Styela clava: one gene and its partner. The protein of the gene in region 2 interacts with the protein of the main gene of each other region in a biochemical or structural test. Links are inferred from orthologs where the notes say so. Each region holds a gene or a part of one and is shown on either strand. Other genes may lie near its edges. The genes, in order: ran GTPase-activating protein 1-like and E3 SUMO-protein ligase RanBP2-like.

The links.
Region 1: the proteins of E3 SUMO-protein ligase RanBP2-like (region 2) and ran GTPase-activating protein 1-like form a complex in vitro, tested with the Homo sapiens proteins (5 studies listed by BioGRID and IntAct, with this or other methods). The link is inferred for Styela clava from reciprocal best matches to the Homo sapiens genes RANBP2 and RANGAP1.

Annotation. Positions count from the first base shown.
Region 1 is NC_135253.1:16,789,952-16,797,646, reverse strand, and holds the start of ran GTPase-activating protein 1-like, read left to right. Parts: upstream 1-4,635; 5' UTR 4,636-4,756; coding exon 4,757-4,918; intron 4,919-5,367; coding exon 5,368-5,479; intron 5,480-6,391; coding exon 6,392-6,558; intron 6,559-6,924; coding exon 6,925-7,058; intron 7,059-7,695. Other genes in the region: uncharacterized protein LOC120327195, read left to right, coding at 2,118-3,575. UniProt on the Homo sapiens protein: GTPase activator for RAN. Converts cytoplasmic GTP-bound RAN to GDP-bound RAN, which is essential for RAN-mediated nuclear import and export. Mediates dissociation of cargo from nuclear export complexes containing XPO1, RAN and RANBP2 after nuclear export.
Region 2 is NC_135258.1:17,858,123-17,865,775, forward strand, and holds the start of E3 SUMO-protein ligase RanBP2-like, read right to left. Parts: upstream 3,286-7,653; 5' UTR 3,244-3,285; coding exon 3,172-3,243; intron 2,478-3,171; coding exon 2,271-2,477; intron 1,408-2,270; coding exon 1,276-1,407; intron 952-1,275; coding exon 832-951; intron 765-831; coding exon 645-764; intron 155-644; coding exon 12-154; intron 1-11. Other genes in the region: dehydrogenase/reductase SDR family protein 7-like, read right to left, coding at 4,441-5,367. UniProt on the Homo sapiens protein: E3 SUMO-protein ligase which facilitates SUMO1 and SUMO2 conjugation by UBE2I. Involved in transport factor (Ran-GTP, karyopherin)-mediated protein import via the F-G repeat-containing domain which acts as a docking site for substrates.

The DNA of each region.
Region 1 (7,695 bases), on a different chromosome or scaffold from region 2:
TATGGGATTAGTTTTACTGTGTCGTTGTAAATTTACTTCGTTGACAAATGAGACAGATGGGTTTCCCATTTATCTCTGCAAAAGCAAATTCATTCATTGTTCCACGCAGAGTTAAAAACTCTGTTTCCGTCGTTTAATTTCTCTTCGTTGTCGCCATGACTTAGTGCCTTCAAGCTGGACGCAGTGTAACACCGTTTTGAAGCGCGTTTCCGAAGGTATATGGAGGGTGCAATGAGCGAGCTAAGTAACTCAATTTTTACGTAACAATACGTAATTATGTTCTATGATTATTATTTTTTCATCATTTATTTATTTTTACAAAACTGTTATGAATCCACAACGTGGACCTTTAAAAAAAAAAAAAAAAAAAAAACAATACGTAATTAATCTATTTGCTGTGATGACATAATCCATAATCTTATCATGCGCTGTAAGGGTTGAGAAGAATGATACCGAATTAAAAAATCGTTTATATTCGTTACGCCGCAGATATTATGATATGTTTGGGTTCATCAAAGATCTTTGGGGGGCCGCAGAATACGCATCGACGGGTTGAGAACCCCTGTTATGTAGCATGGCTCAAACCACAGACAGAGGGTTATTATACCAGAGCCATTACCGTATATAATAGCTCTGATTATACTTTGTGATTTCACGAGTGTTTCATTCCAGCCAGTATTCCGTTTCATTCCGCCATGGTTTTGCGTTTGTTTGTATATTAAACCACTTATCACCTTTTCCGCAATGCCCAATCTAGCAATCAGTGTAGTTTTTCATGGCTTGGTTTTTCTTAAAGCTTTCATGGCCTCATGAGTATGACTATCGTCGCAAATTTATTACATTCCACTCCCCACATTATCTTTGCATGAGGTTGTAGGTATTGGTCATTATCAACGTAATTGTTGAAAGAGAGTACAACAGCCCGAAAGTTTATTAGTATTACTATCGTGTATTTTGTTTTTTAAGTTTGGCCCAAGCCTCATTTAATTGGGCTTGTGTTTTTGTGTGCGTGCTGGTGGGCAGGCACATGAGATACTTCATGTTTTAAACTTTTTTGTAGGTTTTGCTTGCCCTCCAGAATTCTCCATTTTAAATTTAGGTTTGTTATGGAGTTTTCGAAATAAACTATCTATCTAAGAACAAGATAGATTTTCACGCACGCCGCCGCCGCTGCATGTGGGTCACGAAGTACCGGTAGCCTCTTTTTGGCAAAGTCAAAAAGTTTTGATTTGGCGCGCTTAGCAAAAAAGGTACTCATCGTGCGTTTAGAGATGTGTGTTACTGTATTATCCGGACCTCAACTACCGTATCAGACTCTGTAATTTCTAATGAAACTTTTTTCTGTGAATTGAGATTTGACTGAGTTTATGTAGTACGGTACATACCGGTACGGTACGGTAGTATGTGGACAATGCCGGTACAAGACATACGGGAATCTAAGTTTAATCTGTTCTGATGAATTTTTGACCGGTTACCGTAAATAAATAATAATACATTGTGTCAAATTTATAGCGTATGGGGAACATTTTTGGGGTCTCGTGTAGTTTCTTACCTAACATACTTCTAGTGGGCGTAGCATCATAATTTTTTGACATGTCAATCCTAACCCCCACCAGACTATGCCATCCAAAAATTACGTCACTACGACATCACAAACACGTCATAGAGCTTGTTAAATATACGTACTATCGCCCGATATGGCGCCGGTGCCTTCGTAGAGACGTAATATTTGGATGGCATAGTCGGGTCTGCAGGTGGGGGTTAGGATTGACACATGAAAAAATTGTTGTGCTACGCCCACTAGAAGTATGTTAGGTAGAAAACTACATGAGACCCCATTTTTGTTTGTTTGCTCTTTTGGTTAGCTTATTCAGTTATTCCTGTATTCTGTCTAATATTTTTTGCATTGATCGTTTTTTGCCTTATGTGTAACGCTTTACAGTTGTACCGGTATAAATTTGAGAATATATCAAAATAAGTTTATTCACCATCTGCAGATCTGTACTGGTATTACATCTGTACATATATATCAGTGTATCTAAAAAAATATGATTTTAAAACTTTCACAGATATAGCTATGCATTCATTGAATTTCTGAAAAGTGATTCAATCTGTCAATGGAGCTCTTCTTGTCTCGTGTGACTGGAGATAAAAACAGTGGAAATAAAGGTCCTGATCAATGGATTCCATTTTCAACAAAGGTGAATGATGTGGTAACACTTGGTCGATCATCAGATTTACCTATACGATTGTTATCACAACATGTTTCTAGAACACATGCAGAAATATTGAAAAAGAAAGATGAAAACTTTTACATTAAAGACCTAAATTCATTGAATGGAATACACGTCAATGGTGTTAAAATTGAGAACTCTAACTGGCATCGTCTTAGTGCTGGTGATAAAGTGGAGATTGGTAGACCTGATGATGAGGAAATTTTAAAAACAATGAGCGCCAATGATCGATTTATTTATAATGTGTTATCTGCAACCAATTCGGAATTAGACAGCAAACCACGGGGGCCAAAGACGCATATGTCTGAATCTTTAAAAAAAGATTATTTAAAGCTGCATCCAGCAAAAAGTAAAAGACTTGCTAATGGTGCTTCAAAACAAGTAGAATATAAAAAATCCAAAAATAAAAATGCCAAAATTGTTAAAATAAATGTTCCAACAGTTGACCACGAAACAAATTGTAATGATAAAATGGTACATTCCACTGGAAAAAATAAAAATAAAAAAATGAAAATTGAAACTCAATCAGAAACAAATCATGAAATGGAACGAGAAAATAAAAGATTAAAACTACAGCTCGAGGAGAAAGAACAAGCTTTGAAAGAAGAAATTAATTTGCGAAACAAAAGAATTGAAGACGAACAAAAGAAAATTACACAAAAGCTTGAGCAAAATTTCAAAACCAAACTTGTAGAGAAGGAAGAAGAATTAGAGATGAGGCTTCAACTAGAAAAAGACATTGCATTTGAGCAGTGTAAAGCATCATTTGAAAAGGATAAGGTAAATTCTTCAACTATCAAAACGGTGGTAGATACAATGGAAAATGAACTTCAGTGTGCAATTTGCTCAGAGTTATTCATTGTTTCAACGACATTGAACTGTGCTCACACATTTTGTGAATATTGTATTAATGAGTGGAAAAACGTTAATAGTATTTGTCCAGTTTGTAGGCAGCCCATATTGACATTGACACGATCTCTTGTTCTGGATAATTATATTTCTAAAGCTCTCGAAGGTATTTCTCCTGTTCTTAAAGAAAAAAGAGAGAAAATTATTGAGGAGAGAATGAAAATTGAATCTGAAATTGCCAAAAATAAAGCAAATAGGGGGCGTGGGCGTGGTTCGAGGGGTGGTCGGGGTCGAGGAAGAAGAGTACCTAACTCTCCTATCGACCTGAGTAGATCAAACAATGATGACAGAGAAGGCCACTCACGGTATCGCACTCGATCTCGAAATATTATAATAGTAAGCGATGTTGAATCATCAGATTCTGAGGAGAGTGATTCTTATTCTGACAGCGATAGTTCTAATGAATTTGGAAGGATCACTTTCTTTTATTGAATTGTAGCAACTTTATTTCACATATATAGGCAATATGGAATTACTTCACATTTATGGAAATCAATCATAGAGTTAAATTGCCAAATGGGATCAATTTTTTAAAATCAGCTAAAGCTGAAAAGCCTTGGGAGAAAATTTGACAGACAAATAAAGTGATAGCTTCTGAGGTGACATTTCCATCCACTAAAAGTTTCAAACAATTGGTTCATTATTTCAAAAACTAATGGCATCGGCGAATACAATTTTGCAATGTGCAATTCAAGTCTGTTGGAATAAAAGCCATAAATATATTTTCTTCAAGTTGAAATGATTGTATGTTTGATTAGATTTTAAAACAGTATCTCACTGTTTTTCATCAGCATTCACATGTGTCTATCTTCTGTGCCTGAAAGACCTTTTAGATCTAGCGTAGCTGCAGCACATGTAAAATATATATAATGTACAACAACAACACTCATATTGGAGAAGTAAATTTCCACGAATTCCTTACCCTCGCTTTCCTATGTCAAAATTATGCTTGAAATGATTTCATCGGACAGTGTTCTCTTATATATATATATTGCCATTGTTATATTGGTGTAATATGGTATTGAGTATTTAATTATAATAGGGTAAAAGTATTTGGTGTTCGGATAAGTTTTTGTCAGGTTGTTGTATATGTTTTTTTGCATTTTGAATTTCTTTTTGTTAACTGCTTTATATGTTCAATGAAATATGAATATTCATTGTTTTATTTGTTATTGCTGAAACATTTTCTTAACAAAATAAAAACACCAGTATGTTCGTTCTTATGATACTTCATTTTGTTCAAATTGGTTTTTTCCTAGGTAGCTTATTTTTTTTAGGAGTACGAGATACTTGAAAACGAAGGAGCATCAGTTTATCACATTATATTATGCTGCTTATTTCTATGAGAAACAGTGACCCGCTTTCTTATTTCAAGCTTGGCTACATTGTTTCAGAAAAGTCTTTTGTAATGAACTTTTATTGTATAAATATTTACTTTTTGATTTGTTGCCTTCTGCTTTCACAAAACATGTAGTTGTGATACCAAGTTGATAAAATATTTTCTTATTTTTTGTCTAAGCTATTCATTCGGTTCTCCAGCCACTGTATATATTCAAATAAATTAACTGTATAATAAAATAAACCTCTAAAACCGCTAAGAGTGAATCAAAAATATGTCAAAAAATGACAAAGTCGATGAAATTGCCTCCTTGTTACAAAAAACTGAAGTTCGACAGCAAAATATTGTCAGTTTCAAAGGACAGGGATTAAAACTGAATAATGAAGAAGATGCCAAGAAAGTTATACAAGCTATTCGTGACTGTCCAGATCTACAGGTACTTGTTGCCTTGGCCTAATTAAACAATTTTTGTAATAGATTAGTAAAAGATTTACAAATATGCCCTAACCATAATTTCAGAAATATGAATCTTGACTGAAACTCCTTTTTGAACCAGCTAAGGAATATTCAAAACAATTCGAAATTAATTATATGCAGTATTTCAATTTATTGATTTTAAAAATTAATGTGCTTTGATAAAAAAATTATCATTTTGAAATAAAGGGCTTCATTTATTTGTTAGAAACTCTAAAAAAAAAAATGAAGAACCATTAAATTACTGATCATCTTACATTTTCAAACTCATTGACACTCATCAACTTCCATATGTGTATTGGGCATAGTAGGTTCGGTTTTGACCATTCTACACCTGCTATTACAATTTTTAATTCAAAAATTGATTAATTTGACGAAATCACAGCAAATAATGGATTTTTCTATGTTCAGGTGCTTGAATTATGTGGAAACACAATAGGTGTGGAAGCTGCAAAAGCCATTGCTGATTCTTTAGATGATCGTAAAGAACTCGAAAGATGTTTATGGGCAGATATGTTTACAGGTTAATCAAATAACTTTAATTGTTACTCGCGTTATAGCCGGCAGAACAATTTTACTTTTGGTGTATACTAAACAATTGGCAACTATTTGTATTTATTGGCAGAACATTTATGAGTTTCTTTCTTATTAATGTCTTTTGCAGACACCACTCAACAGATGATATAAGTCGCGCCGCGCCATCTCAACTTTGCACCTTAATTAATCTCGCGTCAAGCAACTCCTTATTTAGAAAGACATTTTGTGCCTTCATTTTTGTAAAAAACTCCTCTATTTTTAAACGTGGGACATATAACAGCAGTAACGAAACGCAGAACTGACTTAGCGGCGCGTGATCCAGCTTTTGGTTTAGCTAGATCCCGAAATCCTAATTCTGAGTCAAACTTGGTCATTTTTGAACGATAGCACAAGGCCTGCTCACGCTGCAAGTTATCAAATTAGTCAAATATAACAATTCATCATAAAATGAGTCTCAGAAGAAAGGTGACATAGGAAAACCGGGAGTAAACATAATATTTCCTTGCCCACAACAACGGTAAACCACAGTACAGTGTCTGGTCTGCTTTTAAGTGATATCTGTCATGGAAGAATATAATTTGAATCAACACTACAAAACTAAAAACGAAAAAAGATATGGAAGTTAAGTTACCATAGTACCTTTCGGGAAGCAATTTTAAAACAACTAAAGGCTTTGTATATCTTCCTTAAAATAAAAAATGCAACCCATGCATAGGCTAATTAGAACGGTAAACTGTCATTCTTTAATATAATTACAGTAAGCTCGCGATATTCTGATCACTTTTGGGTTTTTCCAACTGTGCCCCGCTAGACCTCAAAAGTTTTTGCCTCCCTTCAACCTTGGACCACCCTGATCTCTGATTATAATTTTTCAGTTGTTTTCATTTTTTTTTTATAGGACGTTTGAGAAGTGAAATTCCTCCGTCACTGACTTCACTCGGTTCTTCAATTATGAAAGCTGGAGCACACTTGGTTGAAATAGATCTCAGTGATAACGCTTTTGGACCTATCGGAATTAAGTCTATTGCTGAGTTATTGAAAAGCGAGGCATCTTATACTCTTCGGGTACTTCTATTTTTTACGATTTCACTAAGAGTGTAGGTTTAAAAAAATTATTTTAAGACATTTTAAAAAATTGTGAAAATAAATTTAAAGAACTTTTTCATGGAACTGACTGCGAGAGGTTATTTTACACAATTACCTTTTATCCCAAACTATTTTTTCTAAAAATTCAGATAAAACTAAATATCTAGGATCAGTGGCACTGGAATGTTTAATTGTAGGTATCCTTTTACTTTGATTTTCTGATTTGGAATAGGGTGTTCCCGATTTATGGTAAACTGCATTGTCAGGGTTTATGACCCTGCGTCAAGTATATTTAAAAGTTCTAAAATTCATTTGAAATATTTTTTCTCTGTTTGAAATGACCAGGTTCTTAAGTTCAATAACAATGGCATGGGGATCGGAGGAAAAACTTTGGCAGAAACACTTATTGAATGTCATAGAAGGAGCAGTGCTTGTGGAAAACCACTTGCTCTGAAAGTTTTTATTGCAGGAAGAAACAGGTGAGAGAGTTGTTTTTGTTCGCTTAAATTGATATTCTGGTTCATATCTGCAATCCGAGTCTATTTTCAAGACCTAAATAATTAATGAAACATGGTAAAACATAATCTTCAGAAAAATTCGATATTTCCTTTTGTAACAAGAATAAAATTATACTGAAAGTAGTTTGCCACAGGGATGTCCAAAACGAATCGATTGTTCGAATGTTCACTGAACGACGTAAGTACTTCTGTGTGGCGCGGCACAACCATTTTTGCATAAGGTACTCCTAACCCCCACCTGGCTTCATCATCTAAAGATTACGTCACTATGACCTCACAATCATGTCAAGGAGTTTGTTTGCAAGAGTGTAGCTACGATCGCCGAAAATGACATCCTTGCCAACGATAACGAACTCAATAACGCCAGCGATCTCTCTCATATCCGGATCCTTCCGGCGAGAAAACGAGAGAAATAGCTTGCTAGATTTCGACTGATTGCCTGCGTGTCTTGGATGACAGTTGAGATAGTTTGGAGGGCCTTATACGTTGCTGTGACGTTGTAGTGTCGTAATTTTTAAATGACGTAGTCAGGTGGGGCCGGGGGTTAGGAATAACATATGCAAAAATGGTTGTGCCACGCCAACTAGAAGGACTTACG
Region 2 (7,653 bases):
GCATAACTTACCAAGCCAGAAATTCCAATGCTTCGTTGTATTTTTCTTGCTCGAAGCATAACCAAACATTGCGACATAAACTTATCAACAACATAGAATATGCCTTAATAGATTCATCTGTAACATCATCATCACTCATATGCTCTGCATAATCCTAATGAACAAGAATATAGAAATGATGTTTGACAAAGCTAGGGAATTGAAATTCCTTTGTGCTAGAATATTTCTGTTGTGTTCCATTCAAATTGAGAAGTCTACAATATACAGCTGAAACAGGTAAACTACGGCCCGCAGGACAAATTCGGCCAATTCATTCTGGCCCGCCTGATGCTGCCACAGACAAACTAAACCAAATTTTGATGTTCAAGTGGAAAAATAGCTCAAGGAATTTGTTGAGATTACGACTAACTTTAGTTTTGGCACAAGCCTAATGTTTTCTACTTTTGCAAAACTGTTAATATTGTTCATAAAATTTAACTTGTTACGTCACACTTACATGGCCCGTGAGTGAGTGAGTGAGATTTGTTACCCGTAATACCAACAAGTACATTAATAATAAGCCGAATAGATAGGAATGAAACCACAAACATTGTTCAGATGCAATTCCTAACAATTCATTCGACAGTATTTTTCTAGCTTCATACCTTGCATGTATCAACCAGACATTGGTTCCATTCCATATCCTTTTCCACAACTTTCGGTATTGAATAGTCATGTTCTATTTTTTCCACGAAAGCAAAAGCTTCATTTAGTCTTTCTTGATTCTGAGAAGCAAATTTAATAATTCAGTAATTTCTTTATCAAACATAGAAAACATTTTTTGCCACACACCTTCAAAAAAGTAACGTATTCAACATAAAGTGACGGATCATTTGGCCGCTTCTTCAGTTCTTGAAGAATAGTCTCTTCGAGTCTGGAAGAAGGAGCTTCTTGTGCAAGATATAGTTCCATCTAAAATAGAAAGTCATTGAAATAAGTGTAGCCAAGTTACAACAATGGCAGTAGTCCACAATATATCACATGAGATATACCTACTCAAAGTGATAATTGGAAAAATGTGAATTAATTAACAAAATAACAATATTATTCATTTTTATATATCAAATTTTAGTTTGATCATTCATAGGACATGGGATAAACTTTTGAGCGGTGTACCGAAATATTTATTCTAACGTTCATTATGATTGTAAAACAGTTTTTTACAATTGAATTAGATACATTTTCTGACGCACAAAAACATGTAGAAAACGTAACTGTTATCTAAAACGTTCATACCTTTAGTTTGTAGACTTGTGGATGATTAGGTAAAGCAACTGCCGCTTTATCCAACCAAACTTGTGCTCGATTTGGATTCTGTGTTGGTCCAGGATTAATGTGCATTTCTGCTACCTTCAACATCAGCTCGTACTGAAATATAACAAAGAAGTCCATGACATAATTGAACATATCAGTGTTTTTCTCTTTGTGCTCCTTTGCAGGTGACAAGTTATGAACACTGGTTTTGATTAGGGATAATGATATAATCACTCTTTTTTTCAATCCCTGGAGTCCCAATCCATCAGGAGTCCCAGTGCATCTTGAAATATTGCTAAAATCCGGAACCGTATATTAGCAGTTTTTGCTAGAAATACTGGTATATTATATCGTTAATAACAGTGATCAAATATTCAAAACACAAAACTTATTTTACAGCAATGGGACAGATAGATATTTTTTATATTTGAAAATTTTCAATAATTCATTCAAGAAGTATTCTATTTTGTCATTAGTTGATTATTGAAAACAAGAATAAACTCATTAAAACAAAAATAATGATCAGATACATTTCAGAAATGCATAACAAGTATAAGCAATGAAGGATAAAAGTTTGTTTTATTCGTGGTATTGATTCAAGTATGGGACAAGGAAAAGTGATCAACCAAATTCACTGATCAATAACTTTGGACAAACGTGACTGTATAAATGAACAAGCTGAAACTAAATTTCGAAAATTATCATTGTATTACTAATATTACATGCCACCATACAGTTGCTTGCTTGATATCAAATTTCTGATATGATAAGACACTGAAACTAAATTCAGATAAGCAAATGGTATAATGAATCAATGCTTGAATATAGAGTTCAGGTCGAGGTAGACTTATGAACTACCGGTAACTACTGTAATTATTTCCTTGGTGGAATTGATGGAACTTTCATTAACAGTTCCATTTAAAACTGAAGCAACAAGCCAATAAGTAGACAACAAAAGTTCAAAAGAAAATACACACCTGCTGTGGTTTGACCCGCAGTGAGCTTTTGTAACAAGCAAGAGCGGCATCGCTTCTGTCTAATTTTTCATAAATTTCGCCAAGTAGTTTGTGAGCTTTTGCATCCTTGTCATAAATAACAAGATATCTAGTAATCCATTTTGAAGCTTTCTCATATTCCCCAACCTCATTCCACCATCGACCAAAATTGAGCCCCTTTATGGAAAGCTGGAAAATGATAAATAAAAAGCATGATTTACAACTTATTAATGACAGTGTTGAGTGATTGGGTTCCTTCTCTGAGTAAATGTACAAACTTCAGAAAATTTCACTTATAGCATAATCGTTTAACAGACACCAATCGAAATGAAACAAGTCGATAGGCGCCCAGGATAACCGTTGATGCATTCATTTTGAGTGGTGCACGTCTTGTTGGTATCTTTTTCATCAGCGATATACTGCGGCGTATAATTAATCACGTTCACTAAAATTTATATTTTCAAGGTAGTTTACGAAATAATGGCGACAAATTAAGAAAGATCTAGTAATTTCTCAATGATTATCACGTTTTTCACTGATGCCATGGAAATAAAACAACAATCCGGACTTTCGGTGAAAAGCATATTACTAGGGTGACTGCATAACCCACTTTAGAAATTTTACCCGGTTGGGTCCGGAAGTTTAGACAGCTACTGCTATACAGACAGAACAATTGAGAATAAGGGTCTCCTAATGCGGAGATCCAATATATCTGATGAACAATCATAATTTGTGTTATTGCAATATGATAATTACACACTGTCTGATTCCGTCGGTTCCCTAAGAATTAGGAAAATCTAGAAAAAAACAATTCCCTCACATTTTTACAATGCAACTTCTAAAATAGATGTAATGCACTAATACAACAAGGTAAACTACTTACTTCTTTTTCAGATTTTGCATATCTCACTGCTTTTGATACAAGCGCTTCAACTTGTTCAATTGATCTTGACATTAGTAGTGGTAAATTTAAATTTAATGTAGTTTAGATACAACTAATAAAATAAGAATTTACATCATCAAAAGCCAATCAAGGTATAGTGAATCATCATTATGCTTCAGCCAAATTAAATAATTGATGAATACTGCAATGCTTTATTGCACTATTTTTTTTTGACACTTGATATGTATTGTCAAAAATATATCTATAAAAAAACAACCTTATGGTGGTATTGTAACAACCTTATGGTGGTATTCTATTATCCAAACAGATAAAACAGTATTTGGTTGATTTTATACACAATAGATAGTGATTAGGGTTATTCAGGCTATTTACATTAAAGAAAACAAACAGATCTGATAGTAAAATCAATAAATCAAACAAGTATCAACATTGCCCCCTATATATATTTCGGATTAGCGGCATGTATATCTACGACTGAGGACTTCAGCCTCCTGAGCTCCCGGTCTCGGGGAAAAAAAGTCCAATGCAAATAGAAATAAATACTCGCACTAAGAGATTTTCGCCATACATAACAGTATGCTAGTTTAAATTTAAGTAAATAAAACTTAATAAATCTTGTATACAACAAAAAATGACATGAAGATAATTTTAATAATACGCAGTTTACAAATTTTATAAATTGGACAAAAACACTGCATTTTCCTTTTCATGACGATAATGAAGTCATTCAAATTGATTTAACTCAAACAAGAATTTAAAAGTAATTAGCACAGGATACAAGACAGCATATGAAGCAACCTGATTAAACTTATGTCTTATAGTATAATCAGGCTATGCATAAAGTATGAAAGCCCATCAAAAATCACTGAGCACATTCACTAGCAAGTTTATTCCCAAGGTTTACTTCACGATCTACACTTTTCGCATTTATTATTATAATAATTACGGTAGTCAATTTTTATAAGCTATATTTTAATAACCTTGAAGAGGGAAAAATCTTGGAAATATTGCTGTGAAATCTTACAGTGGGATGTATCTCTACCAAGAAAATTCAGAAGTGAAATGGTTGAAGACTGGATTGCATGAAATCGAAAGATATATTGTTTTAAATTGAGCAAAATACATTATATGAGCAACAGAAAAGACCGACTAAAAAATAAAAGGTATTCATATTTTCAATATGAAATAAATAATGAAAATTTGATCTGATAATGAAATTTAAAGCTACACTAATATAAGAAAGAAGATCTATCGATTAGCACGTTTTTTCATGATCCAAAAAAATATAGAAGGAAACAAATATCGGAGCCAAACTACTAGTCTTAATTTTAAAGTCGCAATTGAAACTTCTTCTTGATTATTGCGGATCGCGCTTACAACTTGTTTCGCAATATTACAAGGCTCCATTCCACTTTCAGTAGTGGCATCCATTTTACCGTAATTGGTACCATCCCCAGTCATGGCATTTAGAGACAAACTTGTTTTAACATATCCAGGATAAACAGAGCAGACATTTATTCCAAAACGTGCCACTTCGGAACGCAAACAAGAAAAAAATGCTGTGCATGCAAATTTAGATGCACTGTATGCTGATCGATGTGGAATTGATATTTGTCCCTGTATACTGTTTATAGACAAAATGTGAGCTTTGTATTTTTCACAACTATGTGGCAACTTAATCATACTAGGTAAAAGACGTGTTGTCAAGGAGACATGCCCAAAGTAATTTGTTTCCATCAACTTTTTGTGAACATCCATGGAAGTACTCAGAATGTTACCACGATATGACATCCCAGCATTGTTAATTAATATATGAATTCCGTCAGGAAATTTACGATTCACTGAATCAACAGCATCCTGGATGCTCTGTTCATTTGAAATATCTAGAGGAATCACGCAAGGTTCAGGCCTATCTTCACAATTGTTCATATTAATCAACTCATTTTTTAATTCTTCCAATTTGTCTACATTCCTGGAACATAAAATCACTTGACAACCAGCTTTAAAAAATTCTTTAGCACATTCTTTTCCAATACCAGAACTCGCCCCCGTTATAACAACCACTTTGTCACTTCCCAATGAAGTGAATTGGCGGAAGGCATATTTTAAAGAAAATAAAGCAGCAGGTGCTATTAGTGCAGCTAAATATAAAGCAGTCTCATATGACAGGTCCATCTCTCGACCCGTATTAAAAAAAACTGTAAAATGGAATTTGGATAACGTAAATGTAAATGCCAACAGGTGAGAGCCTATAACAGGCAGCCTGTGTTCAAAAATATTAGAAAACAAAAAAAATATATCAGTATATTGAAATACTCTAAGCCTGACATGTGCAAACTACGGACCGTGAGCCAAATCCGGCTTGTTTGGTGATACAATCTGGCCACCTGATGCTGACATAAATTTCTACTTGCTTTACCCAATTCTGCGTAAGTTGTATTTTAGTTTGCTACAGACTTTCATTCAATAATGAAACGTTAACAAAACTTTACGTTTTCTCGCTCACTCGATTTCATGACATGCTTTTCGCACTTTTTTCTTTCTCTTCGTGCACTTGTTGTTGGCCACAGCCCATCGAATTGGGCCTCGGCCCATCAGGCTATGGGCCGCGGCCCATCAAGTTGTGTAAAGAAACTATTCACTTGGCTAACACAGACAGTCCCCGAACTCATAATAGAACTATAATGTAAAAAATCTGAATTTTTTTGTCCTAACCCTAACCTGGAACACATACTACAGGAGTATATTTTTTTGGTTCGAATATTGACAGTTTGGTAAAAATTAAAAATTTTGTTAAGATAATCGATTTTTTCCTGATGGGGCCGCGGCCCATCAAGCTATGGGCCACGGCCCATGTGACCCAATTAGATGGGCCGTGGCCCCGGCCCATAGGCCGTAGAGGAGTCACCACTCCTGTAGGATTTCATGACATGCTTTTCACACTTTTTTCTTTCTCTTCGTGCACTTGTTGTGTGCGATCATGGGAAAACATGAGGAACAGACATATATCTCAAAGTGTCTGGTGGAACAGACAACCTAAAACTGCCTTGGAATGAAATTACAAATACTGAAATAGGACTACAAATAGATCTCCAAACTTAAATGAAAAAACGTCCGTTTGCTCAAACAAATTCTGAAATTCATGATACTGTGATAAGATGAAACTAGGAAGCCCGTAGACGGATGTAATTTTCTTGCACTGCATCATCCATTATTAAGACGATTTGTGCAGCTCAATAATGTTGTGAAGGCAATAGTAAAGAAGAAATCGATCAACAAGATTTGCTTTATCATTGCCAGGTATGTTGGTTAAGTTAGGGAAAAGCGTGTTAACATGTTTGGGATATTAAAGAGGCCATTACAGCATTAGGTAATAATTGAAGCTAATTGGGAAAAATTAGAAGAAAAAAATCAGCTTCCTCTCCCAAAAGAGGGGTGTCTGATCATCTGTAAAATGGGTGTCTCTGGAACGAGACAATGTCGCTCGATCTGTATAGTGTGCCATACGGTAATGCTGGTAATGCTGTAGTGATTTTTATTATCACCAAATAGCAACTATGAATTTTGGTGATATGGCAGGCTAATGGCTGAATGGCCATGGCCGATGCACATCTGCACATCTGCACATCGCGATTGATCTTATTGATACAGGTAAGCTATATGTTATTAGGCTACAGTTTTAATGCTGTAATGCAGTAATGTGACAAGTATTACCATCTAGTTAACACATTCAGGTATTTCATGCATTTGTCAGATTTATAGTCATACCGGTATCAGGTGCTCTCGTTCACGAGACAAATGTCAGAATGTGTTTATTGTATGATATGGATCCAACTGTCCAACAAGATATCTCGTAATCGGCTGAGCGGAGGACTGTACAGCCCAGTTTAATAAATTTAAGTAGGCCCTACCGTAATTTTGTTTTTGGTACCGGTATTCTTTCTCATGTTTTAAACTTGGAAGTTTTACTCGCTCTATAGAATTCTCTATTTTTAATCTGTACCGCTGTACCGGTACCGTACTGTATTAATGTGGAATTTTCAAAATAAATTACCGGAACTGGGACCGGTATGGCTGTATGGCGGTATCTATCTTTCAGTCTTTCTATTTTCTCCCAAACCGATCGCAACACAGTACCGGTATGGCGGTATCTATCTTTCAGTCTTTCTATTTTCTCCCAAACCGATCGTAACACAGTACTGTTACCGTTACCGGTAAGGTAACACTGTACGGTACCGGTAACAGGTGTATATTATCATAATAATATTATGCTAATAATAGCCAAAGATCAGAACCGCATACACCTGGTACCGTTTTATGATTTCAGTTGAACTATTGATATACACCTGGCTCATTTCAGCCATTGGCAGATTGGCGATTGGCCACATTGGACATAGAGAAACTCTCGCGCCATTATGACAAGGGGAACAGGTTGTTTCCCCGACCCTTGACCCTGGAATA